Linked DNA regions of Tamandua tetradactyla. The protein of the gene in region 2 binds, or shares a complex with, the protein of the main gene of each other region. Links are inferred from orthologs where the notes say so. Each region holds a gene or a part of one and is shown on either strand. Other genes may lie near its edges.

What was found.
Region 1: the proteins of TGFB1 (region 2) and ITGB8 are in contact, whole or in part, in a cryo-EM structure (PDB 7Y1T), measured with the Homo sapiens proteins. The link is inferred for Tamandua tetradactyla from reciprocal best matches to the Homo sapiens genes TGFB1 and ITGB8. Residues at the interface, in NP_000651.3 of Homo sapiens: His117, Thr241, Arg243, Arg244, Gly245, Asp246, Leu247, Thr249, Ile250, His251, Gly252, Met253; in NP_002205.1 of Homo sapiens: Ser156, Ala157, Ser158, His160, Asn161, Asp213, Tyr214, Asn215, Leu216, Gly248, Asn249, Ile250, Asp251, Thr252, Glu254, Gln286.
Region 3: the proteins of TGFB1 (region 2) and TGFBR2 are in contact, whole or in part, in a cryo-EM structure (PDB 9FKP), measured with the Homo sapiens proteins. The link is inferred for Tamandua tetradactyla from reciprocal best matches to the Homo sapiens genes TGFB1 and TGFBR2. Residues at the interface, in NP_000651.3 of Homo sapiens: Arg303, Lys309, Trp310, His312, Tyr368, Tyr369, Val370, Gly371, Arg372, Lys373; in NP_003233.4 of Homo sapiens: Phe47, Leu50, Phe53, Asp55, Ser72, Ile73, Thr74, Ser75, Ile76, Cys77, Glu78, Val100, Asp141, Glu142.
Region 4: the proteins of TGFB1 (region 2) and ITGB6 are in contact, whole or in part, in a crystal structure (PDB 5FFO), measured with the Homo sapiens proteins. The link is inferred for Tamandua tetradactyla from reciprocal best matches to the Homo sapiens genes TGFB1 and ITGB6. Residues at the interface, in NP_000651.3 of Homo sapiens: Pro70, Gly71, Pro72, Glu75, Leu158, Asn237, Gly245, Asp246, Leu247, Thr249, Ile250, His251, Met253, Asn254; in NP_000879.2 of Homo sapiens: Ser142, Ala143, Ser144, Asp146, Asp147, Pro196, Cys197, Ser199, Ile200, Pro201, Tyr202, Lys228, Lys231, Ile232, Ser233, Ala234, Asn235, Ile236, Asp237, Thr238, Glu240.

Annotation. Positions count from the first base shown.
Region 1 is NC_135327.1:103,729,203-103,736,811, reverse strand, and holds the start of ITGB8 (integrin beta-8), read left to right. Parts: upstream 1-4,607; 5' UTR 4,608-5,683; coding exon 5,684-5,810; intron 5,811-7,609. UniProt on the Homo sapiens protein: Integrin alpha-V:beta-8 (ITGAV:ITGB8) is a receptor for fibronectin. It recognizes the sequence R-G-D in its ligands.
Region 2 is NC_135342.1:22,447,960-22,455,546, reverse strand, and holds the start of TGFB1 (transforming growth factor beta-1 proprotein), read right to left. Parts: upstream 3,003-7,587; 5' UTR 2,053-3,002; coding exon 1,698-2,052; intron 1-1,697. Other genes in the region: B9D2 (B9 domain-containing protein 2), read right to left, coding at 3,733-4,046, 6,491-6,616. UniProt on the Homo sapiens protein: Transforming growth factor beta-1 proprotein: Precursor of the Latency-associated peptide (LAP) and Transforming growth factor beta-1 (TGF-beta-1) chains, which constitute the regulatory and active subunit of TGF-beta-1, respectively.
Region 3 is NC_135341.1:57,549,070-57,555,918, reverse strand, and holds the start of TGFBR2 (TGF-beta receptor type-2), read left to right. Parts: upstream 1-3,832; 5' UTR 3,833-4,262; coding exon 4,263-4,356; intron 4,357-6,849. UniProt on the Homo sapiens protein: Transmembrane serine/threonine kinase forming with the TGF-beta type I serine/threonine kinase receptor, TGFBR1, the non-promiscuous receptor for the TGF-beta cytokines TGFB1, TGFB2 and TGFB3.
Region 4 is NC_135329.1:130,969,563-130,977,542, forward strand, and holds the start of ITGB6 (integrin beta-6), read right to left. Parts: upstream 3,006-7,980; 5' UTR 2,679-3,005; intron 1-2,678. UniProt on the Homo sapiens protein: Integrin alpha-V:beta-6 (ITGAV:ITGB6) is a receptor for fibronectin and cytotactin. It recognizes the sequence R-G-D in its ligands. Internalization of integrin alpha-V/beta-6 via clathrin-mediated endocytosis promotes carcinoma cell invasion.

The DNA.
Region 1 (7,609 bases), on a different chromosome or scaffold from region 2:
CGATATTTAGCAGAAGAGATTTCCAAGTTAAATGTGCAAAGTGAAGCCTGGTTTCTCCTCGCAGCTTATAGTGAAATGCAATAGGAAAGAGATAAGTTGAGAACTGAACTTTTGGGTACAAAGAAACCAGAAACTGATGGTCTGGAAGATTTGGGGCTTCCAGAAAGGCAGACCTTAGAGAATAGTGTCCTATGTGAGGATTTAACCAAATATGGAACCAGTCAGCCATTTCAGGAAAAGCCAGGATCAGAAACAGAGTTATCCAGGAAGGATCTGTTGAAAGTCCTATTGTCTGATGGTTATGATCCCTGCATACTACATATAAAACCAACAAGAGTGTGGTGGGATCTGTATAAATGGAACCACTGCGAGTCTGGACTAAAAGGGAGAGAAAAGGGACAAATCAAAGGAAAAATAACATCAAAAGCAGAACCGTGGAAGCTAAGGTTTGAAGCCAAGAAACTTCGGACCAGGAGAGCAGACCCACCCTTGCACTTGGAGAGGGTGAGTCTGCCCTGAAGGCAGAGGGTGGACCTTCCACCTCCATGTTCGGGAAGAGTTGCACTCCAGGCCTTAAAGAGGGTGGAGCACATTCCTTGGAAATTGGGGAGAGTCTGGCTGCCACAACATGGCAGGGTTGAGTATGTACCCCAGAGATGGGAGAGAGCCCAGATATGGCTGTGATTATTAGAGAGGGTGGAACCCAGAAAAAGGTCGTCTCCCCAATATCTCCCAAGGTTGCATTTGGAGAGAGCTGGGCCACTGCATAGGCCATTGGAAAGGGTGGGACTGCTGCTTTCTAAAGCCCAGAGAATAAATGACTCTCAGACTTTCATATGTAAAGGAGTTTGCCTTGCAGGTTTTGTCCCTATATTCCTTCTAGTTTCTCCCTATGGAAATGGAAACATGTATCCCGTGACTGCCCCTCCTTTATTATGTTGGCAGCAGATAACTTTTTCTAAGTTTTACAGGTCCACAGCTAGGAGCATTTTGCCTTAGGACAGATAATGCCTAGAGGTTTCGTACTGTTTCTGATTTTGTATTGCACTTGTATTTTTACTAAAATGGTTTAAGGCTTTGTGATATTGTGATGGAATGAATGTATTTATTTTACATTTGGAAAGAACATGTCTTCTGGGGGCAAAGGATGGAATGTGTTGGTTTGAAACTATCGTGTACCCCAGAAAAGCCATACTCTTTAATCATCATTTAATATTGCTGGGTGGGATCTTTATGATTGTTTCCACGGAGACCTGACCCACCCAATTTTGAGAACTTTTGATTATGTGGTTTCCATGGAGATATGTCTCCATCAAGGTGGGGTTAACTATAGGAGTCCTTTAAGAGGGGATCATTTTGGAAAATGCCTGTACACCTTTTGAGATGCAGAAGGAAAACACTCCTGGGGAAGCCTTAGGAATGAGGAAAGAAAGTTAGCAGACATTGTCATATGCCCTCCTAGCTGAGAGAGAAACCCTGAACTTCAATGGCCCTTTCTTTGGAATTAAGGTATCTTGCTTTGGATGCCTTAATATGGACGTTTTCATGGCCTTAGATCTGTAAACTTGTAACTTAGTAAATTCCCTTTTTAAAAGTCATTCCATTTCTGGTATATCGCATTTTGGCAGCTTACAAACTGAAACAGTAATCCTTCAGTGAAAAGTTCTTTCCAGTATCCTCTGTTCTTTTTCACAGGAAGCAGTTAGATATCAGTCACAGTAATATATTTCACTGGACTCACCATTCAACATTTCCTGTAAGTGGTAGATGAAGCAATCTCATAGGCAGCTTGAAGTTATCCTTTCAAAGCCTATAGAATATATCTGATCCCAACTTCAGAAAAACTATAATATTAAGACATGAATATGATTCTAGCTACAGCTATTAGGTCATTTGGACAAAATTTAGTTATTGCGATAAACCAAAATAGTGATAATAAATAAAAATTTAAGGATTAGGAAAGAAAGCTAATTCATCTAATTTAATGATTTAGCAACTTAAAGAATTTGATGATAGGAAGGATGAAATGAATAGCTAAAATGTTATTTTTAGATTATCTGTGAATTTAATTTGCTCTCATTACTGCAAATGATGAAAAATTAGCTGTTAGAAATTTCAAAGCAATACACTAGAACATGATAAAAAAAGAAAAAGAATTAATCAAGTCACCATCTTTTCTTTCTCTCTTAGACTTTTTCAGGTAGTATGATGAAGATAACAATACTGAATTACTTCAAAAATCCTGTATCTCCTTATAGGAAAAAAAAAAGTTGCAGCACAATGACCAGTAATATTTATTGGAAACAAGCAAACATGTTGTTCCTGAGCCACTAGTTACATTCATGATGAGAAAACCCTATAGGTGATTTTTGGAGTTTTAGAATTCATTTTTATCTGTGTAGGCCAAAATGTATGAATAATTTGTAAATAACTTAAAGAGATTACAGTCTCCCATCAAGAATGTTTTATTTTATTTCTACAACCAGAATTCCAACCTTTTTACAAGTGGGAAGTGGTGATAAATAGAGATTGGCTTCACCAGCTCTAGAAAATTGGTATGTTGACATACATTTGTACACATCTCACGTAATAAAAGGAAGAAGTCTTTCTTTCTGAAGGGCTTCAAAACTTCCTGAAACAGAATTATAAATTGCATCATATTCCTCTTGTTACACAGTTGGTTTGGCTTGGTATGTATTATATCAGCACCTAACAATATAGTTACAAAAATTAATGCATACCTCATCAATGTTACAAATGTACATCCATTATTTCCCTGACTTCATATTTTATTTAATACCGTCATTGTCATTTCAAATCTAGCATCAAGAATTCGATTTTAACATATGTCATGGAACTCTGACATAATAGTCCTGTACAGTGTAGAGTGGACTAACACATTTCCTCATGGGGCGTATGGATTGACTTTTTTTCCTTATTGCAGCACTGCACTGCGTTCTTAGGTCTGTAAAATAATCTCTGGAAAACATAAATGCTGCCCAAATAAAGAACCCTTAATCGGAGCTCCAGTGTGATCATCTAGTGGTCACATGGTTCTGTCCTCACCCCATTCCAGCCACTTTACAGACCCTTCATTTTAAGATTACCAATATAAAGCCATAGCTGCTCGATCATGGAACTAAGGAAAGAAATAAGGAAGCTGAGTTGAATTTAATTCTGTCTATTTACAGCACGTTGCCTGTAAACCCAAACATAATTGGGTTTACAAGTTTCAACTTTTAAGGTTTCGATCATGTCTTTGGTCTTTCAAAAGAATCTGATCGGTAGATCCAGGGCGCTTTTAATTTTGCAGCTGGGTTCCTGGCTTGTTAGCTAATTCTGCCGGCCTCAATGTGCAGTCCACACCTGAAAGGGGGAGTTTTCAACGTTGTGGTTAATTAACCAGGTACTTTCCATTCACTCAACTAACAAATAGAAAACAGAAAGAAAAAGAGAGCCTTCCACTTAATTTTTTTCGCTCCGAAAGTGGAGACGGAAACGGTTAAGCAATACGAAGGAAGAAAATCCCCGCATATTTTGCCTTAACCTGGCTGGACTGATCTAATACCTGCTAACAGGCGCGTGCTCCATTAAAGAGGTCTGCTAGGCGGCTAGTGGAAAGAAGAGAGGTCAGACTTCGCGACGGGAGCCACTGCTGCCTCTAGAGGACAAAGATAAAGATCACCCGTGTCTCAAAAACCTTGTCTTCAATCCGGGGGATTGGGTTCCCTCCCATGGCCCGGCGTGGTAGTGACAGGACCCGAGCGAGCAGGCTGCTTCCCCGACAGCTCCCCAGCTAACATCCTCTCCCCTCTAGCACCTAAATGTCTGAGCTGCGAGCTGGCAGCAGCGCCTTCCCACCTCCTCTCTTTAGTTTCTCTGTCCCCGCTCCACCGTCGTCTGTAACATCTTTGTGCCGCGTATCGGGAAGGTGACGCTTAAGGTCAGAAGACACACTGTACCTAGCAAAAGCCCAAGGCCACCACCAGACCCGGAGAAAAGCGGGGTTATCGGGCCCCCCTGGCAGAGGCTCCGAGTGGAAGGGCCGCAAGAATTTTCACCAGCAGCTCAGTTTCATCTGCAGACTCACCCAACTCTCCAACCCTGGGGAGACGGCCGACGGCCTTGGGGTGGGGCGAACGCGAGCTAACTGCAAGCAAAGCCGGCGGCCGCTCCCCCAGAGCAAAGAGTGTTGGGGGCGGGGAGAGGCCCCTAGATTCCACTTTGTAGGCTGCAGATGCGGGGCAGTATCTCCGAACAAAGGAGCGCACAGCGCGGGGGTGAGTGGCTGAGGTTTGCGTGCAGCTGCCACTCGTGCTGAGCGAGTCTCCACACCAGCTGGGCGAGCGATGGGGTGCAAGAACTCGGGGGAGGTGGGAAAGAGAATCCGAAGCGCGATTCCTGTTGCGCGGCTACGCACCAGGACTTCTTGCGAACTATGGGAATGGCAACTATCCGAGCCAAGGGGGGTAGGGGTGGGGGGAGAGCCAGAGTGAGCAAAACAAAGAGCGAGTGTGGGCCGCGGTGACTTCATGCCTCACCAATGTCCCGCCCACGCTGCTCGAGCTGTTGCTGCCTCTGCCGCCTGGGCCGCCGCCGCCGCGCCTGCGGGCCGCTGGGGCCGAGCGCCGGGTAGCGTGGGGCGGTTTCCTAGCAACTTGCGGCCCGCAGCACGCCTAGCTACCAGCACATCCGGAGACCCCCGGGGTGCCGGGACAGGCCCACCCCACCCCCGCCCGTCGGCAGCCTCACCTCCCCAGCACCCTCGCCCGGTGCGTCCCAGAGAGCGCCAGCTGCAGGGGCTCTCAGCGGCGGGACGTGTGCGCCGTGCGCTTGGGTCAAAAGGACGAGGGCACGAAACCCCCGCCGCGCGAGGCCAGCCTCCCAGCGCCACCGCGGAACCTCCCTGTCCCCGCGCGCGGCCGTCCCCTCCACTCCAGGCCGAGCAGGGAGCCGGGATGCTTCGGGTTGGGCCAGCGGGCGCCGGTGGGCACTCCTAGGGTGCTCCGGGAGACGCCGCCTCTTGGCTGCTGGCACCCCGAGCTTCCTTCCTCGCCAGCCAGGACGCCGCCGCCTCGTCTCTGCCCGCTACTTGTCTAAGGAGGCTGCAAAGCTGCAACCCAGTGCAGTTGCCCTTCCTGCCCACCTGTGGAAGAAGATCGCGCTGACTGATGCGCCATCAACTTTTCCCCCTTCGGCCTCCCCGGCGTCCCCTCCCACAGATGCAGCATCACCCAGTGAATGTACTTTAGGGTGGTTTTTCCCCCCAGCTTCGGGCTTTGTTTGGGTTTGCTTGTGTTTGGCTCTTTGCTAAGCTGATTTATGCAGCAGAAGCCCCAGCGCCTGGAGAGAAACAAAAGCTCTTTTCTTTGTCCGGGAGCCGACTGCCGAGCCCTCGCTCGCGTCGCCGCCGAGGGCCACCGGCAGCCTGAGGCGGTGCTTCGCACGGAGACTGCGGGGGTCGCCGGGCCGAGCTGGGAGGGCCGCGGGGGCCCTGAGATGCCGAGTGGTGCCGTGGCCCGCGTACCTGCACCGATTGCCGGGAGCTGCGGGGTCCGCCCGCGCGTCCAGCGGGTAACGTCCTAGCGAGCCTCGGTCGCGGGCCCCGAGGTGCGCCCCGGAGGCGCGAGCGCGCGCGGGGAAAGAAGCGAGGCGGCGGGCGCGGTGCGGGCTGCTTTGCAGTATGTGCGGCTCGGCCCTGGCTTTTTTTACCATCGCATTGGTCTGCCTGCAAAACTGCCGGCGAGGTCCCGCGTCGGTCCTCCGGGCGACCGGGCTGTATTCAGTTGTTCTCGGACTGGCCCAGAGCGGTAAGTGGTTTTCGTTTGTCTCTTTCTGTCGTTTGTTTTTGTTTTCCTCCTCTTTGCTTCCCCAAAGGTATCTGGACTAGCACGAAAAGCTGCCTGGCCAAACTGTCCGGGCCAACAAAGTAGCCGGGGTCAGCCTTGGTCTGTCCTGGGAACTTGTGTGGCAGAGTCCGCCTCGGCAAGCAGCCCCAGGGAGGCCAGGTGTCAAGCCCTTCCGCCTGGAGTGACAGCAATAACCAATTATACGAGGAAATACTGTTCTTTTCTCCTGGGTTGGGGAAGCAGTAATAAAATGGAAGTTTGGAAGTGAGGTCGTATTTGCAGAAGCCAATTTAGGGAATCCAGCCCATCCTTGAAGTATTTGCACAGAATATGCTCCACATCTGTCTAATATTTGAATACACCAGGTGGCATTTGACTCAAGGCTGTGAATAAATTGACTGTCAATTTTGAGTCCACAACAGAAAAGAAAGCAGCCTGCAAGTGTCTTCTACCATACAGCTCAGCCTGAATGAATTAAGCACACCTGAGTACACGTCTTCTTTTAAGTCACCATCTTTCAGGTTGTTTTTTTAAAAACAACAAAAACTTTCCCAGCTATTTAATCCCTCACTATGATCAGTCCCTGAGATTGAGTAGCAGAGAGAACCCTGAACCCCAGAATTGACAGCTTTCAGTTCAGGCATGCTGCTTTTGTCAGAATTAGCATGAGTTTGAAAGTCTACCTCTTTATAAACTTTATCCTCATTTGTGAAATGAGGACAATACCTGCTCTCCCTAAATCACAAAGGGAAGCTCCATCAAATAGTGTATGAGATGTTTGGGGTTTTTTGGATTATATGCAACGTAAGGTGGTAGGTAGCATTGGATTATAAGCAGAAGTAAAATATACAAGTAAGGGTGATGTCCATTTAGGATGAGTCCTTACTAATTTTAAATATAGGTCAAACATTTATTTTTCCCAATGCAGTGATTATTGCCTGTATATTATATACCTTTTGACCTTATCTGTGTTTAGTGGTCATTGAGTCTTTAAATTCTAATAGAACCTTTCTCTGACCTTTCTGGTTCTAGGAAAGTTTAATAATCACAGTTGCTTTGTAGACTTAAACTTTACTCCTACACTTAAAATTGAAGCGCAAAGTTTCTGCCTCAAGCTAATTAAAACAGTCAAATCATAACCTTGTAAAGAAGGGCTTAAAGTGGAAACACCCAACTAGCTTCACTTAATTGTTGCATATGTAATTGTCTAATGTTTGTGTCAAGGAGATTTACCCAGTTATGTAAAATACGGGCAATTAGAATAAATTTTATCCTGCAGTTATTTTGTGGCTTTTGTGTTGATTTCAAAACAAATGCAACTCAAGGCAAAGGAACAAGTAGCATTGACTAGCATGAATTTATTGAGGCAGTTTTTCTGTAGAGCATAATCCCATCCTATTTCAAGAACAAGTGACAAAGTGTTTTTCTAGATCTGGTAAACACATACACACATAATGGTAAAATGGCAAACTTGTATGAACAGAGTTTATTTTTACCCATACACATGCAAAAGAAAACATCCTACTTACCTCTATCTCTAGATGTTTCTAATAATGGTAATATATTGTTTTATTCATTGTATCTTGTAAAGATTAGTCAAATTCTCATGTGGTAGCACTGTTTGCCCATGAAGTCAATGTAAGTGATTTGAAGCGCATGTTATGAATAGGCCTCCTTGCACCTGCAGTTGTGAAAAGGGAGTGCTTATCTGAAATCAGAACAAAGCATCCTATTCCCAATCTCTGTCAACATACAAAGGT
Region 2 (7,587 bases):
GAATGGGAATTCGGGAGAGATAGACAGAAACTGGGAGACCCACACAAGGCAGTAGATGAACAAAGAGGAATCACACATACAAGGAAGAAAGAGATGGGTGCAACTGGGGCGTGATGGAAAGTCAGGCAGAGACGGGGAAACACGCACACGCGGGAAGAGAGAGATATGTGGGGCCGCCGCAGACAGCGAGGCAGTCTGGGATGGGGGTGGGGGGGACCCAGAGACGGGGACACGGAAGGATCCTTGTTAGAGAAACCTCTATAATGACCCTGACGCGATGGGAAAGGACAAGAGACCGAGATGGGAGAGTGACAGGCTGGCCCCGCAACCTGGGCGCAAAAATGGCCCCGAGACAGGCAAGTTCACGCGGGGCGCCGGGACGCCAGGGTCCCTGCGTGGGCGCCGACCCGGCGGACCCACCGGTCGCCCCGCCCCCAGCCGGGATGGGGGGAGCGGGCGGGAGGCGTCGCTGCCGCGGGGGCGGGGCACGGACCTGCCTCGTCTCGCCCCGAGGCTCGGCGCTCGCTTCCCGCCTCCCCCGGGGACACGGGAAGGAAGAGGGAGGGGGGCAGGGAGGGCGAGGCGGCCGGACGCTGGGGTTTCCCCAGCCGCCGCGAGAGGAACTGGGACTTTGGGGTCCCAGAGCTCAGGCTTGAGCTCTGCGGGGTCCTCCTTCCCCCTTTCCGGAAGCGCAGGCTCCTCCCCCCGCGCGTGGCGCCCACGTGGGGCTGTCTCACCCCGACCCCCTCGGTTTTCTCAAACCGGGCTTAGCAAGTCACCCCCGCTCACCCTCCCCCCTCTTTCGGAAGGTACAACTTCTCACTCATTCCACTCCCATCCGGCCGCGTGCGGGGGGAGCTCCCTGCTCCCAGCATGACACCCTCCGCCCCCCCCCACCGCCCCAGGTCCACCGTTCCCACACTTGTCTCCCCTCTGGGTAAAACCATTCCCGTGACCCTGTAATCCAGTTTTCCCGGAGGGTCGCTTCCTCCGCGGGCTCCCCCTCTGTATCGCACGTGTCCCTCTACGAAACACCCACGACAGCTCCCCGGGACCCTTCTGGGGTCTGCGCTTCCCTCCCGCTAGCCTCCCCCTCCCCATGACCCCGCGGCCCCTTCTCCCGGCATTTATCACTTTCCCCCTTTTTCTCTCTCTGGGACCTTCGTCCCAATCCTGCGTGTCCCTCGCGCCCTCTGGAAGTGGTCCGCTCTCTCACTTTCTCGGCACCTGTGGGGGGTTCGCTTCACCAGCTTTTCTGACCTTCCTAAATTTTCGCGCCTCCGGGTTCTGGGGCAGCTTTTTCCACCGTCTCTCCTTTGCCAAATACCGGGGTCTTCGCTTCTCCCAAACCGGGTTCCCCTCTCCACCCCATAAACCTCCGCATTCTAGCGCGCCGTGGGGGGGAAGCCTTTCTGCACCCCGCCCCCTGCTTCTGTCTCTCCAGGGGGTCTCTGTCCACGAGCTGCTTGTTCCTGCCGCTACCAGCACCCCCCGCCCCCGGAAGCGGTCCACTCCCAGGGGTCCTGAACCTGGACGGGGAGGGGATGCTGAGCCCCACCCTCTTTAGACCCCTTCCCATGAGCCCGGGGGTCCTGTCCGTCCAGCCGGTTTCCCCTGCCAGGAATTTCCTCCCCTGGACCCCTGCACACCGGCGCCCCCTGGGGGCCCCCTCCCGGCTCCCTGCCCCCCGAGCTCACTCTGGTTGTTTTCCACCATTAGCACGCGGGTGACCTCCTTGGCGTAGTAGTCCTCCTCGGGCTCGGGCTCCGGCGGGGCGCTCTCGCCGGCCACCCGGTCGCGGGTGCTGTTGTAGAGGGCGAGCACGGCCTCGGGCAGCGGGCCGGGCGGCACCTCCCCCTGGCTCGGGGGGCTGGCGAGCCGCAGCTTGGACAGGATCTGGCCGCGGATGGCCTCGATGCGCTTCCGCTTCACCAGCTCCATGTCGATGGTCTTGCAGGTGGACAGCCCCGCGGCCGGCCGGCCCGGCGTCAGCACTAGAAGCCGCAGTAGCGGCAGCAGCAGCGGCAGTAGCCGCAGCCCGGAAGGCGGCATGGGGGAGGCGGCGCCCCTCGGCACTGCCGAGCGCGCGAACGGGGCTTGGGTGGTGGGGGGAGGCCCCGCCCCTGCAGGGGCTGGGGGTCTCCCGGGGGAAGGTAGGAGGGTTTGGGGGGCAAAGTCGAGGCCCTCCGGGAGAAGGGTGCCGACGTGGTTGGAGGGGAGGCTCTGGCGGGGTGGTGGTGGTGGGGTGGCTCGGTATCCCACGGAAAAGATGGAGATGGACGAGAGCTGGTACCAGAGGGTGGATGGTCTTGAATGGGGGAGCTAAGTCAGGTCTGCGAGAGATCCCGTCTCCCGGAGGAGGAAGGGTCCTCGGATGCGCCGGGCCTCAGGAGGGAGGCCGGGTGGCCAGGGAGCGGCGCGCAGGGGGGCGCGCCGGAGGTCCGGGGTAGATAACGTCTTCGCGGGAGTCCGGGCTTGCGGCTCCTCAGGGCTGGTCCGGAATGGGGGCGTCTGGGGGACGCGATGTAGGGGGCCGGGAGAGAGCAAGCGTCCGAGGCGAGGGTGGGAGTTCGGGGTCCCTAAGTCCTGCCTTCTCGCGGGCAGCGCCGGGCCAAGCGGTCCCCGCACCTCCGGCTCCCAGCGGCAGCGGAAAAGTCTCAAAACTTTTTTTTTCCTCTTCTCCCAACCAGTTCGTCCCTCCTCCCGCTCCTCCTCCCCCTCCTCCCCGCAGTGGCGGCGGCGGCGGCGGGGGCGGCGGCGGCTGGTTTCGGACTCTGGGGCCTCGGGCTGCTCTGCGGCAGCTCCTTCCTCCGGCTCCGGGCCGAGGCCGGCCCCGCGGGCGGCTCAGAGCCGGGGGGGTCCCCCGGAGGGGGCGTCCCCCCTTTCCCGGCCGGGGCCTCGCTGTCTGGTGGATCCGCGGCAGCAGGAGGGAGGGGGACGGAACAGAGCGCGTAGGGCGGCGGTGGCGGCGGCGGGGGACCGGCTGGGTCGGCAGGGGGTTTTGAAGCCGCCCCGGCCCCACCCAGGAAGCGCACGGGGCGGGGGCGGCCCCCAGGGGAGGGCACGGCGGGGGGCCGGGCCACTGTCTTCATCTCGAGTGGGCGGGCTCCGAGGGGGGTCCCTCTGGAGGTGGGGGGGAGAAAGGGCGGGCACCCTGGCTCCGCCCCATTAACTGGGTGCTGCCTCCTGGCGGCCGAGAGCTACCAAAACGTGCGACCGGGACGCGCGGGGCTTTAGAGGCGGCGGGAGGTCAGCAAGAAAACGAGGACGTGGAGTGTGGGGCTGTGTGTGTGTCGCTTGTTCGGATGGGGACAAAGGGGAGAGTGGAGCAGAACAGGGGCACACAGAGCGGGGAGAAGGGTCAGAAGTTGAGGCAGAAGGTGAGGGTCTGAGGAGGGAGGGTGTATGTGTAGGGTTTGCCACAAAAGGCATTGGTCAGTTGAAGGGGGTCAAGAAGGCAGTTACACCCTAAGAAGCGCTCTCTTTTATTGAGCCCCTCCCAGGTGCTAAGCAGCCTTTTCTCAGCACTCACTGCTCCCAATTTACAAAGGGAAGCTGGGACCCAGAGGTCTGATCACTGGTTCCAGTTCCTAATAAAGGCAGCAGCAGGGCCCAGTGTGGCTGGAGTCAAAGTCTGTCAGACTCCAGAGCCCAAGGCCTGACCACCGTGGCATCCTGCCTCTCATTAGGATCCAGAGATGTGGGTGGGAGCAGCTGTGGCGGCAAAGTCCCTCAGCACTCCACACCATAGCGGTCGAAGTGGCGCAGCAGCAGGCCGAGCTCAAGGTGCACGGTGCCACCAGCAGCCGTGTGCAAGCGGTAGCGGTCGGCCCCACTGTAGATGGTGTCTCCGTGTAGCAGCTGTGGTCCACCACCCACGAAGGCCCGGGCTAGCTGCTCCCACCAGCTGCCCAGGGGCCGCCACGTGGGACAGTCCAGCTGATGGGTGCCCGGGCTGCTGGGCACATGGCAAAAGCTGTAGCCAGCAAGCTGGCAGCGGCCAAAGCTGTCCTGGGACCACACCTGGAGATGCAGCCGGGGCCAGCCTGCAGGACAGGAGGGAGAAAAACAGGGAGTGGGCATCATCCAGCCTGGGATATTCAGGATCCAGCCTCCTGTTTCCAAATCCTCTCCCAGATATTCACTGGAGCCCCCACACCCAACCTTCTCCCTCCTGGGTTTCTGCCCCAGCCTTCTACCTGGGCTTCTACCCCGTGATCCATGCCTCCCGCCCCCCACCCCCACAGTAACCAAAGGTATCTTTCTAAATCCATGTTCCTCCACTGCTCAAAACCCTTCCATGGCTCCCCAGTACCCTCAGCGTAAACTCCAACTCCCTTAATATCCAAGTTCCTTTGGATCTGACCTCTGCTGACTTCCTTCTTGTGGCCTCCTCTTCCATGTCCCCATCTCCAGGTAGCCCCTCTGCTCCCCAAGTCCCCAGGTTAGAGCCTTGAGCCTTGTTGTCCTAGAGGTCTCCCTCCTCCCCTCCCCAGGACCCCAGCCTGACCTCCCTGGGCTTGGGGCCTTCTTTCTTGCCCCCTCCGTTCTTTCACCTGGCAGCCATATGCATCTTTCTCTCCCTTCCACAGGTCTCCAAGTATCCTTGGAATACAGATCAACAACTCAGCCTGGCAGTCAAAGCCCTTAGAGATCCAATCCCATCTCACCCTCTACTCTGACCCATATGCTGTGTCAGACTTTGTTCTAGGAGCTGAGGAGAAAGCCCTGAATGAGGCAGAAAAAATTCCTGCCCTTGTGAAGCAGGCATCCTAGACAATGAATATAGGAAATAAGTAAATTATAGGGTATGTCAGATAGTGATAACTGCTCTGGAAAAAGGACAGGGTAGGGTAGGGGTGGGGATGCAGATTTAGAAAAGGGTGGGGGAGGGCAAGAAAGGCTTCATGGAGAAGGTGATATGCACGAAGTCTTAAAGGAGGAAAGTGTGTGCCATGTGGACATCCAGGAAGAGCGCTTCCAGCGAGGGAAAAGCCAGTGCAAAGGCCCTGAGGTGGATGTGTGCCTGGCGTAGCTTATATGGCTTGAGTGGAGTGACCCTAGGGGAGAGAGAGAGGGAGGAATGACAGCGCCACACTGTGCAGGGCCTTGAGCAGCCTGGTAAGATCAGCTTTTATCCTGAGTGTGGAGGGGGCCATGAGATGGTTCTGAGAAGGGAGGGACATGCAGTCTCTGGCTGCATGTAGGAAACAGACCTTGGGGGTACTCTTCCGGGAGGGAGATGAAAATGGATAGCACAGGGTGCTGGGAGAGAAAAAGGGGTAAAAAGTAGCGGGATTTAGGATATATTTCAAAGGTGGAACCAGTGGGATTTCCTGGTGATGAAATGCAGGGTGGAGAAAAGAGAGGAGGCAAGGATGCTGCCAATAGTGGGAGACAGAATTGCCTGTCTCACACCTCCAATTCATCACTCACATGGCAGCCAGAGGATCTTTTTAAAAGTGCTAACTGACTTGTCCACTGCCTGCTCTGGCTCCCCAGTGCCTTCAACAGATGGCCTCAGTTTCCCCGCCTGGCATTCAAGACTCTGCACAGCCTGCCCTCTGCTCCCTGGCATCCTCCCATTCTCTCTTAGCCCTTCAAATACCTCTGGCTCACTCTCCCCTTTGAGCCTTCCCCATGCAGTTCTGTCTAGAACTCTCTTCAATTCCTCTGCTTATTAGCTGCTCCTGGCTCTTCTCATTGCAGTTCAAATGCCCCCTCGTCCAGAAAGCCTTCTGTGATTTCCCTGGCAGGGTCAGTTCCCTCTTCTAGGCTCCTACAGTCCCCTGTGCCCCTCACGGGCTGCCAGGCCTGCCCACTCTGACCTGGCACTATCTGGGTCCATCTTCCACACTGGATAGTGAGTCCTGTGAGAACAGGGCTGGGGCTGTTCATCGCCATGGCATCAGAGTCTCCCTGGCATCACCCAGCACAGGGCAGACCATACGTAAACATTATTTATATCGTTAGAATAAACGGCATATTTACCTGGGCTATGTCCTGGGATCTGTTCCTTTCCAATAACCCAAATTCTTCAGCATAAAATGTTTGCTGACACCCCACTCCCCTGAATGCTCAACTCCTCTGAGCTACACCTCTGCTATTAAGCTGAGGAGCTGCCACTAGTCCCCACACCTGTCTGTTCATCTGGCTCTCTCTCATAACCCCCCTCCAGGCTTCCTCCTCATCCAAGACCCTCTTCATCTGTCTCTTGGAAGCCCCCTCCCCTCCCACCCTGCCCCCCAATCCCATCTCCCCCTCCACTCCCTGGCTCTGCCCAGACCCCCGCCTTTGGGACCTCCTGACAGGCCAGTGGCTGGGGATGCCTCAGCTCAGCCTCTCCAGGCCAGGCGTGGCTGGGAAAGGGGCCCAAAAGGTATGGAAGTAGAGATGGGGCATAGTATTTCCAGCCCCTGCAGCCTTGGTGCTGCTAGCTTCTCGCTCCCATCCCCCTCACCCCAGCCTGGGACCCAGGTCTGGAACCTACCTTGGAGGCCTTTGGTGGCAAAGTGCAGGTCGATGGGATGGGACCAGTAGGCCATGTCCCCCACCTGGGGGGTGTCCACCTGCGTCTGGCCCTCCCGTACGCCCGACAGTAGCTTCCATGCTGCCCCTGTGAGGAAAGCCAGGGCCCTGAGACAGAGAAAGGAGGGGAAGAGACAGCCACCCAGAAGGCAACGACATCACTGTGGCTTTTAGATCCCCATTTCACCCTGGCATTTGAGGTCAGAGGTTACAAAGCATGGGCAGCAGTCAAATGACTGGGTTCAGATCCTGGCACTACGTGTTCCTGCCTTTGCAACCTTGGGTGAGATAACTTTCTCTGCCTCAGTCTCTCATCTGTAAAATGGGTGTAAGAATAATACTTTCCTCATCGTTCTTTGAGAGAATCAGAGTTAATACAGAAAAAGCCCCTAGAACGGCACCTGGGAAATAGTGAGTGCTGGGTAAGGGTTTGATATTTTATCACTATTCCCACCCCCACATTAAAAATCCTAGTGCAAAGACTAAGATGGGGCTGAGGGTATCATCTATGGGGGCACAGTGGAAGAATAGCAATTCTGTTGAGGGGTGATAACAATAGCAAAAGCATACTGGGTGCTCACTACATGCCAGATACTGTATGAAGCACTTTAGGTAATGACTTCATTTAAGCCACCCTCTAGGATTCTTAATCCCCACCCATTCCACCCCATCCCCCAGCTCTCAAAGCCCTCCCCCACCCCCATCCTCAGCTCCCATCGCTTTTCCCCCTCCCCAACTTACAGCCTCACTGGTCCTATTTCTGTTCCCCAGTGTGCCGTGCTCATTCCCACCTCAGGGCCTTTGCACTTACTGCCCAGAAATTGCCACTCCTGGCTCTCCCTATGGCTACCTCTTTTTCATCCTTCAGGCCTCAGCTCAAGTGCCATTTCCAGAGGGGCTCTCCATAGCCCTGCTATCCAAAAACTTGTCTCTTCCACATCATCCCACTTTTTTTTTAATATGTGATCATTCCATTCTACATATATAATCAGTAATTCACAGTATCATCACATAGTTGCCTATTCATCATCATGATCATTTCTTAGAACATTTGCATTA
Region 3 (6,849 bases), on a different chromosome or scaffold from region 2:
TGGGTGACCCTAATAATTTCACTCACATCTCGGGGCTTACTGATTTGCTTCTTAATAAGGGGAACATTGGTCAAGAGATAATAGCTGAGATTGCAGATTGATGATTTGCATGGAGAGGAATCTCCCTGTCATCTTCTATAGCTGCCAATAACCTCAACAGCTGCGTGTTAGAAAGTTCAGAGGAAAAAAAAAGTTTTTGTCTCATCACTGCTGGGAAATTCAGGGTATGGGATTAATCATATTTTGATTCAGTTTAATTGTTTGTATGTGTGCAGAGTTTGTAAAACTGAAAAATGGCTGTCAAGGTGTATTTAAAATCATTTTTCAACCTTGTAGGTATAAAAATTACCTTCCTTATTTTAAAAATCTTGAGCCAAACTTTCATCTTTTCCTGTTTCCACCTCAAATGGCCCATTTTATGCATATATATATTAACCACCCATGAGAATACACAGAAAATTTGATTAAGCCAAATACACAATTGTACATGAAAAAAATGTCTTAATCTGAGGTTATCATCTTTTTCTCTCAATGGGAATCTCTAACAGAAGGGCATATTGACAGATTTTTAAGATTGCCAAATTATAATGTACATGAATTTTTATGTCAATGATTTCATTGTGATATTTTCTGAAAGATTAATTTGTTCTTGGCAATGCTGAATTCATACTTTTCTCAATTTCACAGGAGATTGAAAATTAAATCAGAAAATTTAAAGGCAAACAAAAGTAAATCAATGTTAATGATAAAATATGACAAAGGCTACCAGTTAAACACTGCACTGTGAAATCAAATATCTCAATCCTGGTCTCTAGAAAATGAAAAAGAGGAGACCTTTGTCTATTAAGTTTTCTGTTTCTTGGAGGGCAATCCAGACAGTTAGAGAGAAGTGTCTTCTGGCTGGAACACCAAAATATGTTGCTGGACTTTGGTTTCCAGGTTCTTGACTGCGCTGCAAGAAAGAATTCAAGGGTACTGAACAGATAGAGCAAGCAAGTAGGAAATTTATTAGATACAAATATAAGAGGACATACAGGCACTCTTGCAAGTAAAGAAAGATGGCAGGCAAGAGCCAAACCTGGCCTCTAACAATACAAAACATCTATCTTTCTGATAACCACAGAAAAAAAAAAAAAAAAAGCCTTGGAATTGATGGGCATTTATTTGCTTCAGTGTGATCTGGGGAGTAAGGAAGTACATGTATATTGCCCACAAGAACTTATGCAAATTTAGAAAAGGAAAAGAAAGGGGAAAATAATTCACATATATCTCCATTCTCAGGAAATGGAAGTGGTGGCAACATCACCCTCCAGATATAATCTGTTCTGTTACATCTCAAATTACCAGGTCATATACTGCTTTTTTTCAGAGTTATGAAGTAACTAGGATAATTAAGTAAAATTTTCTTATGAACTTTTTTTTTCCTCATTCATTCATTATATTAGCTTCCTCGGGCTGCCATAACAAATTGGGTGTCATAAATAAGATAACTTTATTGTTTCACAGTTCTGGAGGCTAGAAGTCAAAAATCAAGGTATTGGCAAAATTATTCTCCCTCAGAAACCTGTAGGGAGACTCCTTCCTTGCTCCTACTTAGCTTCTGGTAGGGTGCCACAATTCTTGGTATTCCTTAGCTTGCAGGGGCAGCACTTCTTCCCAGGTGTATGTTCCTGGGTCCAAATCTCTCTTTTCTCATAAGGACACCAGTCATAACCCAGTTTTGCCTCATTTCAACTAATCACATGTTCAGAGACCCTATTCCCCAAAAAAGGGTAACATTCACAAGACAGGGATTTAGGATTTGAACACTTCTCTGTGGGGTACACGATTCAGCCTATAACATCCATTCATCCAACATGTATTTATTTAAAATCTATTAGGTGCTAGATACTGAGACTATAATAGTGAGTGGAGGGACGATATGATTCCTGCCCTCCAGAAATTAGAGTTAAGTTAGGAAGAAGAATAGAAATTAAGGAATGATGCAAATAATTGAAAAATAAGTGAGAAATTAGAGCCATGGTAAATGTTAAAAGGAGAGGCATATGGTGCCAAGAGAAACTGATAAAAAAAAATCCACTTAGAGAAATATACTCGCCCATCAAGGAAATTATGATTCACCAAGGAAAACCAAGAGTTGGCTTGGTGACGAGGAAGAGAAGGAAAGAGGAAGGGAATTCACACTGAGGAAGGCCCTGTGTAGGAGAGACGGGGCATGCTAAAGGAACTTAGAGAAGGCTCCCTGCATGTGAGAGGAAGTAGAAAATGGAAGATTACAGGAGAGGTGGGGGGTTGAATACATTTAAAAAATTGTTTTCTGTCTTTTCTTTATCTTTAGAGCAGTGGGAGGCTGTTTAATTATTTTAATCAGAGGATTGGTATAATCAGGTTTTCAGCTTGGAGGGACTCCAGCTTTGCTTTGAGGAATGACCCTGAGGAAGAGTGGTTAGGAGATTCCCAAGTAACTCCAGGAAAGGGATAATAGTGACAGAAGTGGGGGGAGGGGTTGTAGAGAAAATGGGGAAAAATGGATTTTTCAATGAACCTTCCTCCATGTTAAAGGGTCTCCAGTTTTGGCAAGGCTGTTGGTGGGAGAGAAGATGTTCAGCTACGCTGAGTTCACCCACTTCCTGCATCCTGAACAAGGGATGTGGGATGGGCGTTTTCCTAAAAGACACATCCAGAGGCAGCTTCAATGCTGGAGCAGTGGGGGTGAGATTTAGGGTCCCAGGATTAAACAAATGAGCCCTTTGACGTGGGTTCAGGAGTAGGGTTTCAGGAAGTATTTACTTTTATTCCCAGTGAAACTGACCACCTGCCTCTGCAAACAATTGTTTTCTCAGATGAAGGAATTCATTGTATAGCCTGCTGGAAGATCTCCTGGCCAGCAAGCTACACAAAATCTAAGACGCTGAAAACTGGACGTAGTATGATCATATAAGTCATTCCGGCCAGGACATATCTGAAAGAGAAAAGGGGGTTCTAATAATAATTAAATTGTGAAAATAGATGTAAACCAAAATTACCTTGGGTAAAACTGGTCGCCCTAGCAAGAAGGGAAACTTGAAAGGTCCTATCCTGCTCCCACTAGTATCCTTTTTGCAAATGAGATGCTAGGTAGTTCTCTTCCTGGGCAATAGTGGAATGCAAACGCTGGCGTTTGGTGAATCCCAGGTCACTTTCATTTTTCCATTTTCTGCCATACTTGATACATTCTGAAAATAACATTTCCTCCATTATCATTCTGTGATGGTTGACCGTTTACAATTATGCACGGACTCAACCCCAGGAAGAGGCAATTCTAGAGCCTTGCTACTGAAAATGGAGCCAACTCCAAGGAGTGCAACTCAGGCCCCCCCAGACCTATCGAATCAGAGGATTCCCAGGTGGCCCATACACGCATTAAATTTGAGAGAACCTGATGGACTTGGTATATACCAGTAAGAAGACATTTTCACAATGTGACACCCATACATATATACATAACTGAACATAATTTTAACGAAGTCATTACTTATCCTTACTATTTTAGCGAAAAAACAGGCTTCGACTCACGAAAACAGATTTCAGGATTCACTCATGGGTCCCGACTGATAGTTTGAAAAACACAACTCTGTAAAGCACCCAGGAACAAACCAAAGGTTAGGACTTGGGAAGGTGGGCTTCGTGGGGGGACTACAGAAAGTGTGGACACTTCCTAGGTTCAGCTGCTTTTCTGACAGGCCTGCCGTTAGTCATTCTGCGCAAATAACTTGGAGAGTGGTGTGGGAGGGCGGTGAGGGGCAGCTGAAAGTTTGCCAAAGCCCTCAGAGGGGCTGGTCCAGGGGAGATGATTGACAGCTTTGAGAGAGAGCCGGGACTGAAAGCCGAGGAGAGGGAGAAGGCTCTCCGGCTGCGAGAGGTCCTGCCCAGCTGTTGGCGAGGAGTTTCCTGTTTCCCCCGCAGCGCCCGGGTGAAGTTGTGAGTGAGTCACTCGCCGCACGGACCGACAACTCCTCAGTGCGCGCACACGCCCGGGGCAGGAGCCAGCCTCCTGCGCAGCTCCCCTTGGCCGCCGGGGGCCCCCCCGCGCCTCGCCAGCCTTCGGGCCCCCTCCGTGCTCGCTCGCGGGCGCCACATCTGGCCCGCACACTAGGCCTGCGGGCCCGGCGCGGGGTTCGGAGAAGGCGCGGCGCGGAGCTGGCGAAGGCGCAGCCAGGGGACCGGGGAGGCGCCGTCCGCTGCGCTCGGGGCTCGGTCTATGACGAGAAGCGGGGTCTGCCATGGGTCGGGGGCTGCTCAGGGGCCTGTGGCCGCTGCATATCGTCCTGTGGACGCGCATCGCCAGCACGATCCCGCCGCAAGTTGAGAAGTCGGGTGAGTGACCCCCCAGCCGGGGCTTGGCGGACTGACTGGGGTCTCCTGGGCTCCCCGCCCCTTCGAAGTGCTTGACAGTCGAGCCGGAGCAGCTAGCGCTCGGGCGGAAACGGGAAAGTTTCCTCTCGCGGCACCCACGCAGCCCGACTCCGGTAGCCGCAGGGGTGCGTGAGTTTTTCTTTAAAAGAGAAGGAAAGTTAGAGTGGAAGGGGGCCTGGGGCACGTCTGGCCCGCATTGTGCGAGTAGGAAAAGGCGTTGTGTTGGCCGCGGCCGAGGCGAGCCCCCACCCCCGGAAAGGGAAGTTTGAGAAGTTGGTTTATCTGAAGAAGGCAGGGAAGCAGCGGCCCGGAGCTGCAGCCATCGAGGCCGCCAAGTCAGCTCGCACACCTGGGGTCACTGCGGGCCGTGGCGATGCTGCGCACCCACCTTCTTCTCTTCCCGAGACACCCCTTTAAATGGCCATTTATTCCCTCCTTAGCGCCTAAGAGTGAAAATGCATTCCCCAAGGCGGGCTTCTGAGCTATTGGATAAAAGTTTCAAGAAAAGAAATGATTTTCAAAGCAAAGTTATCTGGCTCCACTGACATCCTGGCGTTGGATGGGCAGTGGGGATGGTCAGATGGAAGGCTGAGTGCCTACTAGCTGCTGGGGATGCTGCTGAGAGGAAGGCAGTCCTGCCTGCAAGGAGTTGGTGATTCTCTGCAATTCTTGTTTCGGTTGGAAATGAAAGGGTTAAAATTGTGCCTCGGCTGCCCACCAGCTTTTAATCTCTACAGTTTTGGGGGGGGGGGGAATACAGAATTTAGGTTCCTAAGGTTTTGTTATGCAAAGTGTAGAATCTCTGAGACCTCAAAAGCTAGAATTTTTGCAGCTAAGGGCCACATAACTGATTATCTGCAGCTGTGGTCTGAGTAACTGAGTATTTGGGCAAGTCATATGACCTTTTTGGGCTGCATGCAGTTTTCTCACCTGTAAAATGACACAGTTGGATTCAGATTAGATAACTTGATGTCCCCTTTATCTTTAACATCTTGTGGGCTCTTTTATTTCTTTTGATGGCTTGGAGATGGCCTGTGCAGATTTGGGATGAAATTTAGAGGATGACACTCCATATCATGGGGAGACACAGTTTACACTTACCTTTAGGGTGGTGTGGAAGGTGGTAAATTTCATAGGCTGCCTATTTGAAGTAGACCAACGGTAACCTGAGGGTGGGAGTTTTTAATGAAATGAGGAAGAAGTACTGTTGTAAACAAACAAACAAAAATCCTAACACAAATTTAAGTCCTAAGGGTTTAATAAAACCTCACTGTTTTTGTTTTGGGATGTTTTCCTACAGTGCAGTTAACAGAATGCTCAAGAGTCTCTGATTTTACTCTAGACTCTTAAAAACTGAGCTCTGTCTTTGCTAATAAATAATTAAAAGTGGCACCCTTAATTTTCTGCATACATTAAGAATTAAGACTTTTGTTTCAGATTATGAAAGAAGAAAATTAGTGGGCTCCAATTTTGTTTGTCTACATGGGTTAGGTTTTGTTTACAAAAATAAGATTTATAATTTGCAAATTCTGGGCTCAGCAGTTCATGAGTCAGTTACATTCCATATATATATATACACTTTTAAACAATCAGTTTAAAAGCCTGGTAATTTTCTATTTGTCTTTTTTAACAAACCCCACTTTTATACTTTTATGGAATTAAAGTTTCAAAATAGTTGAAATAAATAATTTTGAATTTATATTCACTTGACCCAAATTAAATTTTCAAAGATGGTTGAAGATTGAGATAGTGATAGTGAAGATGAGAAACCTAATTCTACTTGCATTTTAATTTTCTGTGTCAGGAAATAGTTTCAGTGTTTTCTAACATAGTTGGTTAACGGTCAAATCATTTTTTAAAATATCTTAGAGTAAGATAAGATATGAGGAAATGAGTTTGTTTATAGCCTCCTATTAGGTAAGCTGAGAGTATATCATACCATCATCTGTTTAGTAGATTGAAAAGAGAGTAATAGATTTCAGTACAAGAATAAATTTCACTGCCAAGTATATCATTACTATTATTTGACTTAGTAGATTCGCTCTTCATAAGTACTCAAAATTAAGAAATTACTCTTTTAGGGAAAAATGTAAATGCCTGAAAACTGTTTAGATGTGAAAAATATGACCTTTACTTTTCACATACCTAAAGGATTCTTTACTTTCACATACCTAAACATTCATACAAGTGTCATAAGAATAAATTTCTTTCTGGTTCCTACAATCACATTAACAGCATTGTTACTTCTGTCAGGATCAGAGACTAGGAATCATTAGGCCCAGAATTTGATCTCTGGTCTATTTACTTTATTTCCATAAAGCACATTTCCCCCCCAGGCTACTTCCTTTAGTAACATCTTATTTTTAACCAGTTATAGTTTAAACAAAATACTAATTACATTTTGAATTCAGTGCCGACTTTTCAAACTAGCCATCCCATGGTGACGGCTCCTCT
Region 4 (7,980 bases), on a different chromosome or scaffold from region 2:
GTGTAGTGATATAATAATTAATTGGTAACAATGGGCTTGGGCAGCACATGGAGTGATAGACTCACTGTATGGATGTGTGTGATGTGAGGGAAGCTATGGGAACGGAGGGGAAGCGCCATCAAAAAGACAGTGCTCAAACTGAATGGCTAAGGAAGAAAAGTAGAAGATTGCTCGGCAGAGAAGACAAACGCATGGACACAAAGAAGAGCCTGATGGGTCTGGGGAATAGTAAATATTTGGGTTTATGTTGTATGTCAATTGGTTATGTTTATGCAATGAAGGAAGGATGGAAAGCTGGTGAAGATCTTGAAGAATCTTAAGTAACAACCTAAAGAGTTTGAAATTTATCTTGTGAAACCTCTGAAGGATTTTAAACAGAAGATTAATGCATCCTGATTTATTACTTTTGAAGGATAACTGAGGTTAGGAGGCAAGGAGACAGGTTGGAACAGTTCTTATAGAAGTCTAGGCAAAGGTTGATGAAATGTAACAAAAGCGGACATGCAAAAGGAAAGGATCAACGACTGGTGCTTGAGAACCTGAGTGGACAAGACACGGTGATGCCTGGTGGTCGATGGATTTAGTGAAGAAAGGCCAAATGAGCCTGAAGTAATTAGGGGTCGTAGAGTTGGATACCTGGATGAACTCTGTGTTGTTAAACAAGAGTTTAGTTTTAATAGTACGGTTTAACCCTACGGGGGTCTCACAAGAAGTGAGGACATTGTAAGGAAAGAAGAGGTGGGGGGACAGAGCAGATAATGGTGCAGAATGGTGAAGAGGAAACTCAATGCCAGCAATGTGAAGGACAGTCAAGGACCTGCTTGCAGGAACTCCAACCAAAAATAGCATTCTGGGCTGGGCTGGCAGGCCCGAGCGCCGTGGCTAGGTGGGTGCCATCCCCGAGAGCAGGCTGGGTGGCTCCCTGGATGACCTCAAACTATACTTAGCTCCCACAATCAGCTGTGGCCCATTTCCAAAGCAGCAGCAATGGCAGCTGACAGCCTGGAGAGACTATTTTCTTCTCTCTAAAGAAAAAGTGCCCATAAGCAATACATTTCCCAAGTGGCTATTCCTCCTGATTTGAAGAGGGCTTCTGTGGCTGAAAATATGCCTGTGGCTTCTATAAGTCCATCTCTAAAAAAATTTCTTTTCTCTTGAGTCAAGATACCTGGGTCCCCTCGGGTAACTTAGAAGAATCATAGAGCAAGCTCTACCTCTGTGAAATATGTCAAAGAAACGCCTGCTAGCACACTTTAGTTATTGGAGTATCTTTTCCCCTTCTGGTTGTCACAATAAAAGTAAATTTAGAATGCAAGGATCCAAAGGCAGAGAAGGAACATAACCCTAACAAACAGATGTCCATTTGGAATCTGAAGTTTGAAAACAAGATTCTGCTAAGTTTGAGACTCTCAGATAAAACTTTTGCTATCGCCCAGAGTTCTGGTCTAAACATTTGCTGGTAAGTTTGCTTAAATACACCAGCAACATATCAATAGATTGCAATCCCCTGGAGTTTTTTTGTTTGCTGGTTTGTTTGTTTTTGTAAATTGAAGTTTAGATCCTGTGCTTTGTCCAGTAAACACTAGAGGGAGTAGGCTTCAGCTAGAGGAAAAAGGCTACCATGGGGATGAAGAAAAATCTGAGACTGAGGTGGAAGGCATTTCTGCATTTCAATGAGGCACAGGATTTTACTTAGGTAGATACCAATCTTCATACTATGACCAAGTGACTTCATATTTTGAATTCAGTATTAAAAACTTTTAGATATGATCTTCGGAACCTGTTCAATATCTAAAACATAAAAGAAAACCATTTTTCTCTGACCAGAATCCATATTCTGTCCATTTCAAGCACTTTGAGAGCCAATAGGATATAGCTCCATCTGTGAGTCGTTCATTTTAGAGGACACATAATCTGGATGAATAACTTTTCAGAGATATTAGATTTTTTTTTTACAGGGCTGTACTTAGAGTGCCCATGGTGAATGGCACTGATACCAGGCATTTTCAGACACTTGTAGGAATGAAACGTGCTCATTGTAGATTACAAGTCTCTATTAGAAGCCCTCCCCTCTTTATTTTTCTCCCTAATTCTCATGGCTTAGCTCTACATTAAAACACTATTTTACAATCTAGTTAAGAAACATTTGAACTAATTGGCCCACGTCATGCACAAGTCAATGAGAACTGATGTTTATTCTTCTAACTTAAATTTCCAGTTCTTTAGTTCTTTCATGCCTTTTGGAATGCCATAAAAACTAGTGAAGGCTACAGTTTCATTGTTTATTTTAAAAAAGAAAAAAAACAACAATGAATACTAGTCAGAAACAAATCCTTTAAGATCTTAACAAGAGACTATTTAGCTAAACATTAACCATTTTACTGAATAATGACCTCTATGAAATATTGTTCTGAAACCATTGCAGGTTTTTGAAGTGAAGCTGTTAAAGCATGCAAATCCAAATGTAAGAAAAATCTCAATAGAGCATAAGAATCTGCCCTTTTACAAACCTCAGGGTCAGATTCACCTGGATGTTAATATCCAGGTGAATATTAGTAGAAATTACATTATGAACTTTCTAAGGCAGAATCTGTTGGAAACTATAAATTACATTGACAAGGAAAACTCAGTTCCCAAATTTGGGTTTGCGTTTGTTAGTCATGCATTATACTACTTACCTCTCAGGGCAGACCTTTAATTTCAGAGATTGCTGAGATGCATGACTGCACCCGTTATCAAAAGTCTTTGGCAGAAATACCATTTATCCTTGTTGTGGTAATAAACAGATTTATAACATTCTGGTGCCACCATTCCTGAAAAAGCACATTCATTTGAATATTTTTTCCACAAACATGGTGAAATATTTCATGAAGGCGCATGGGGGTAGAGTCTTAGGGAGAGATACTGCTCGTAAATGACAGAACGCCTGGCTGATTTACATGAAACCCCAAGTGCTCATATGAGAATAGGTTAGGTTTAGATTGACGAGCAAATGTGTAACCAGACTTCTGGCTGACAAATGGCAGAACTATGCCAGAGCATTAGCTTTTCTGGAGTGAGACCAGAATTAAAGCAGGAGGATCAAGTTCATTCCATAAAGGACATTCAAACCTAGTGGATGGCAGGGTGGCTGGTTACTAAGCACATATAGATTTTAATACTCCAAAATAGGATTGAGTGAGTTTACAGTTGGGCTGGCATCCAAGCAAACGATCCACTTCCCATCATGTTTATATTGACATTTCAGAAGGGTCCTGTTATTTTCAAGATGTCAATTTTAATGGTAGCTTTGGTTTAAAGTCACTGATCTCTAAAAATGGCTTGATTGGGTAAACCAGGAAATGTTAATAAAAACTGATGAGATTAGTATAAAAAATGAGGCCAAGTATTAAATGGCCCAGATTGTATTAGATTTATTCTGGCTGGGCACAGCTGAGGACAGAGACATCCACACAGTTTTTGTTGAGAATGATAGACTGTTTGGAGTATATACTCTTCTTAGAGGGCTGAGGATGAAATTTCAGGGCTTTGGGCCTGCCTCTAAGGAAGCAGTGAATATGGTAGATATTGTCAATCGAGTTTCCACCACGTGCCTTGTCTGCTCAGCACTTGATGTGCATTATCTCATTTAATTCTCACAAGCACAGTGAGGCAGATCTGCTTTATGATCTTTGCTTATGGATGAGCCCGAGGTTCAGAGAGAGTGGTTGACTTGTCCAAAGTCACACCCTAGGAAGTGACAGAGTCAGAATTTAAACTCCAGTCTGACTCCAAGGACTTTCCCCCATGCTGCACTGTCCCTTGGGCATCTGGGGAACAATATTGGTGAAGGTTTAGCAGTTTGCAGGACATGAACTACTTGAGTAGTAAAGAGGCAAGGGAACAGAGGTGGAGTCAGGAGACCTGAGTTGGAATCCTGGCTTTAACATTTACTGGCTCTGTGATCTTGGAAAAGTTCCTTAACCTCCCTGAGCTGTTCCATGTATAAAACGTATAAAGAGTATGCGTGTATGTGTATGGTAGGGGTACGAGGAGGTCTTTAAAATTCCTTTTAGTTCGAACATTTTGTGATTCCGTGTGCCTTCAAGGGGCTTTTATTTCCTTTAATTGAGGGGCACATTTGCTCTTTGGCTTTTTTAAGTGAATTCAGATGTGAGGAAACACTTCCATTTGAAGTTTAAGAACTGAGTGAATTTCTGCCACAGAGATATTCCTCTTCTCTGCAAAACTCATTTCCTTTGTGGGTTGCACCAAAACAGACTATCTGTTATTTCCTGGGTGGATGACTCCACTGGGCTCTGAGCACGCTCCTCTGCTCACAAAGGAGCTGTAGCGAGGCCTGTGGAACACACTAGAAACACAAAATGGTTATTTCATAATATTATCACAAAAGAAAACTGAAAGTTGGCTTTCCTCTGAAGGCGATAAACATTACTCCCGGTGGGTAGGGAACCAAATACCCAAACAGCTGCCTATTTGGGATGCTTTGTTCTATTTCTGTAAATTAATGAGGCTTTATTTATAATTCACTCTGATATGCTGACGAGCTTTCCCTGAAAACGGCTGTCTCCTCTTAAGCCCGCCGCCCCTCGCTTGGTTGTCCTTCACCCGTTCTCCTGTTGATGGAAATGTATACATTGGCCATCCGGCGTGGGCCACGCATCACCTACTGCTCGGCATTCTCTGGGATCAAATGACATGGACCAGGCTCTATGTGGGCAACAGTTTGTAAATTCCTTTGATGTTGTGCCTTGTGACACTTAATGGCTAAATCCAAGCTTTTGCTATCTGACCAAATGCCAAATGTGCTAGTCCCTGAATATTGACAATCTTGCAGATATCTGGATAGGAAAATAAGATAAAACTACAGGGAGAAAATATTTCAGAACTGTTTGTGGAGGGCTAATTAAGTTAAAGCTTTGATACTTGGAAATTTAGTTGAACAGAACATTCTAGTTCATTAAGAGCTAAGATAAAATATTTTTAAAAGGTCATTTAATATGTAATGAGTGCCATCTATGGATAAGGTATGGTATGCGGAGAGGGATAAAGGTTCAGATAGGTTTTTTTGTTTGATGTATTTCTTTGGGTTTTTTTATAACCATTACTGTTGGAAATTTTGTTCTATTTCCTTCCGGCCCTTTCAAATGTTTGATTTTTGTTGCTTTGTTACAAAGATGTAGTCATACAGAATATTTATTTTGAACCCATTTTCATTTCATCTAACATTATAAGATTCATCCTAGGCATCATTCTGTTATGAGCATATAGCAGTTTGCTTAACCATTCCCTTATTTGTGGAACATTTGGGTTGTTTCCATTCGTATTCCATTATTTAAAAAATGCTATGAAGGAAATCTTTAACATAGAAGTTTCCCCCTTATTATTTTTATTACCTATGGCAAATTCTCATATGTGGAATTATTGGATCAGAGGGCAATTTTAAATGTTACATGTTATCAATATGCACTGCAATTGCTTTCCAAAAGAGTAGTACCAAATTCATTTCTCCACCATTGTGTAGTGTGACTTTGTGTCACTTTGTTTCTTTTTACTGTTTCCAACATTATTGGTTTTTTGTTTGTTTGTTAACACTTGTGCTTATATACCAGGCAAGCTACTCTTAAAGTTAAACACAAATTTGACATATATTATCTTTTTCATTCACACAGTAACCTTGCAAAGTAAATGTTTTCCAGATGAATAGATACTGGGAAAGATTAAGCGACTCGCTGGAGTCCACACAGCTATTATCTGAGCTGGAACTTGATCTCCTTCTCTTGAGTTCAGGCCTCTTGTGTGCCCCCTCAGCCACAGCTGCCCCTGAAATAACCAGGAGGGGTCTAGGCTAATTAGCCCTCCAAGCTTGAAAAGGCTTAGGGGTCCTTAATGTATAAAGATGGAACACATGAGCTGGCGTAGAGAGGAACGTGTCCAAATGGCTTTTTCCCCCTAAAAAATAAACAAATTTTCTCAAGTAAAGTGAATACTTTTGATTAATTAAAAAAAATTAATTGTTGCACACCCTCCCCATGCACATTAAAAAGATTTTAAAAAAAGGAAAAAGAATGTCATTGAATAGTTCCGAGTGTTGCAAAATTTTAACTAAATTCAGACATACACGAGTAACTCCAGTGGAAGTTGTTCGTGCATATCTGAAGACAGAAGGTGGCCTTTTAACTTTAGACTATTAAATGCAAGGAAATTCATAGTTAAAATTCCACTTTTAGCTCCCAAGCTACAAAACATGAAGGACAAGACTGCCACAAAGCTCAGTAGCCTGTTGGCATTATAGAATTCGGTAGGCAGAACGCAGTGAGTCAAGATCGCACCTTCATTTCTCAAAACAGCTGAATGGACTAAAAGTACGTGCTTCTTTCTTTATAGTAAGAAATCAGGCTCTGCAACAGGTTGGTTCGTGATGTGTGGAGCAAATGACAAATACATCCCAGCTGGAGGGGGTGGGTGCGCCAGGTATCCAACTGGGCATCGTCTTGGGAGAAGGAATACGAACCACATAAACTTCTCCCTCTGCAGTGTGCAAAGGAAAAACCCAGCTTGGAGGCCACTGAGAAATTCGGTAGGATCTGCTGAATGTGGCTTGGGGCACAGCAGTTGAGAGTCCATTCAGCTAGAGTGCCGGTGTTTAGGAGGCTCTGGGAGAGAGCTGGAGGTTGATGGTCTGGATAAAGGAACTCAAGGAGGGGCTTACCTGGCCTAGATTACAAAAGCCCCTTAATCTCTAACCAGACCACCCCCTTAAAATGAAAACAAAACAACAGCAATAAAAACCAGTATTTATTTTACAAAGACATGTTAAGTGGGGGGAAGCAGAGAGAATGTCTTGGTAACATCATCCACGACTCCTTTTAAATAATTACTAAGAAGGCTGGGTTCTTTAAACACGCAGATGATCTTTAGAGGGTTCCACACTGAGATGAAACTACTTCAGTGCATCACGCAGTGCTGAGAGGATGATTTGGATCCATTGGGCCTTTAAGGAGAAAAACTAGGAGAAGCAGGATGCCTTTGTGGAGAAGGGACCATCTCTTCAGGTCCTTTGTTTTGTAGCCAGATTTGAATTCTAATCAGTGAGGAGAAAACAATAATGGAAAGCAGCTATGATTTCAAAACCAAACCTTGTAGCCGACTCCACTCTGCCAATATATTTTCATAGCCTTTTGTCTGAGAGGCCAGGCAATAAATATCCTTATCATCTAAACTGCTGCTGGGAGTTGGAATCTTGTTTTGCTGGCAGCATTAAGGAGAAGGCATGCTGAGCTGAGCCTTAGGGGTCTTTTCTCCCAGCCTAGTCTAAATGGCTATTCTCTCCAACGTGACTGGAGTGCTTTCCTGTCATCTCCAAACATTACATGCTGTGATAACATTAATTCCCCAGGCTCATGGCCTCATGACACTGAGGAATGCATGTAGGGACAGCGGAGATGGGCAAGCTGGCTGTCCGCTGCAGCCCAGCTCCACCCGGGATGTGGAGTTGGGGAGGAGCTGACCCTCGTTTTGCCCCCCATTGCCTTTGGAAGGTTTTCATTTGTTTTTTTTTTTTTTTTGCTAGTAGATGGTCCCTTTGACCTCCTACTACATTCCAAATCTTTCCAAAGCTTTCGGAGAGGTAGTGGTTCAACCAAATGTGCCTAATGGGAGAAGATTTTTGGGTCTGGCTGTTCCTTCCTTTGCAGCATTCTTTTATTTCCCCAACCCACCCCTTTGCTTCCTTTGAAGTCAGTTTGAAAAAGACAGAATTGGGGGACCTTAAGTTCTAAGAGTCTGCGAACTGTAGACTTTGTGCAACCTCTTATTTTTGAATGCTCAGTGGTCTCCAAACTTTATGAATGAGTGGCTCACTAGAATCAGTGAGATTCTAAATCACTTTCTCTCAATATTTGTCCTTTATTTATAAATTGTATACATGTACTGTTGAACTTACATGTTATGTTAGCTAAAAACACATAAAAGAGAAAA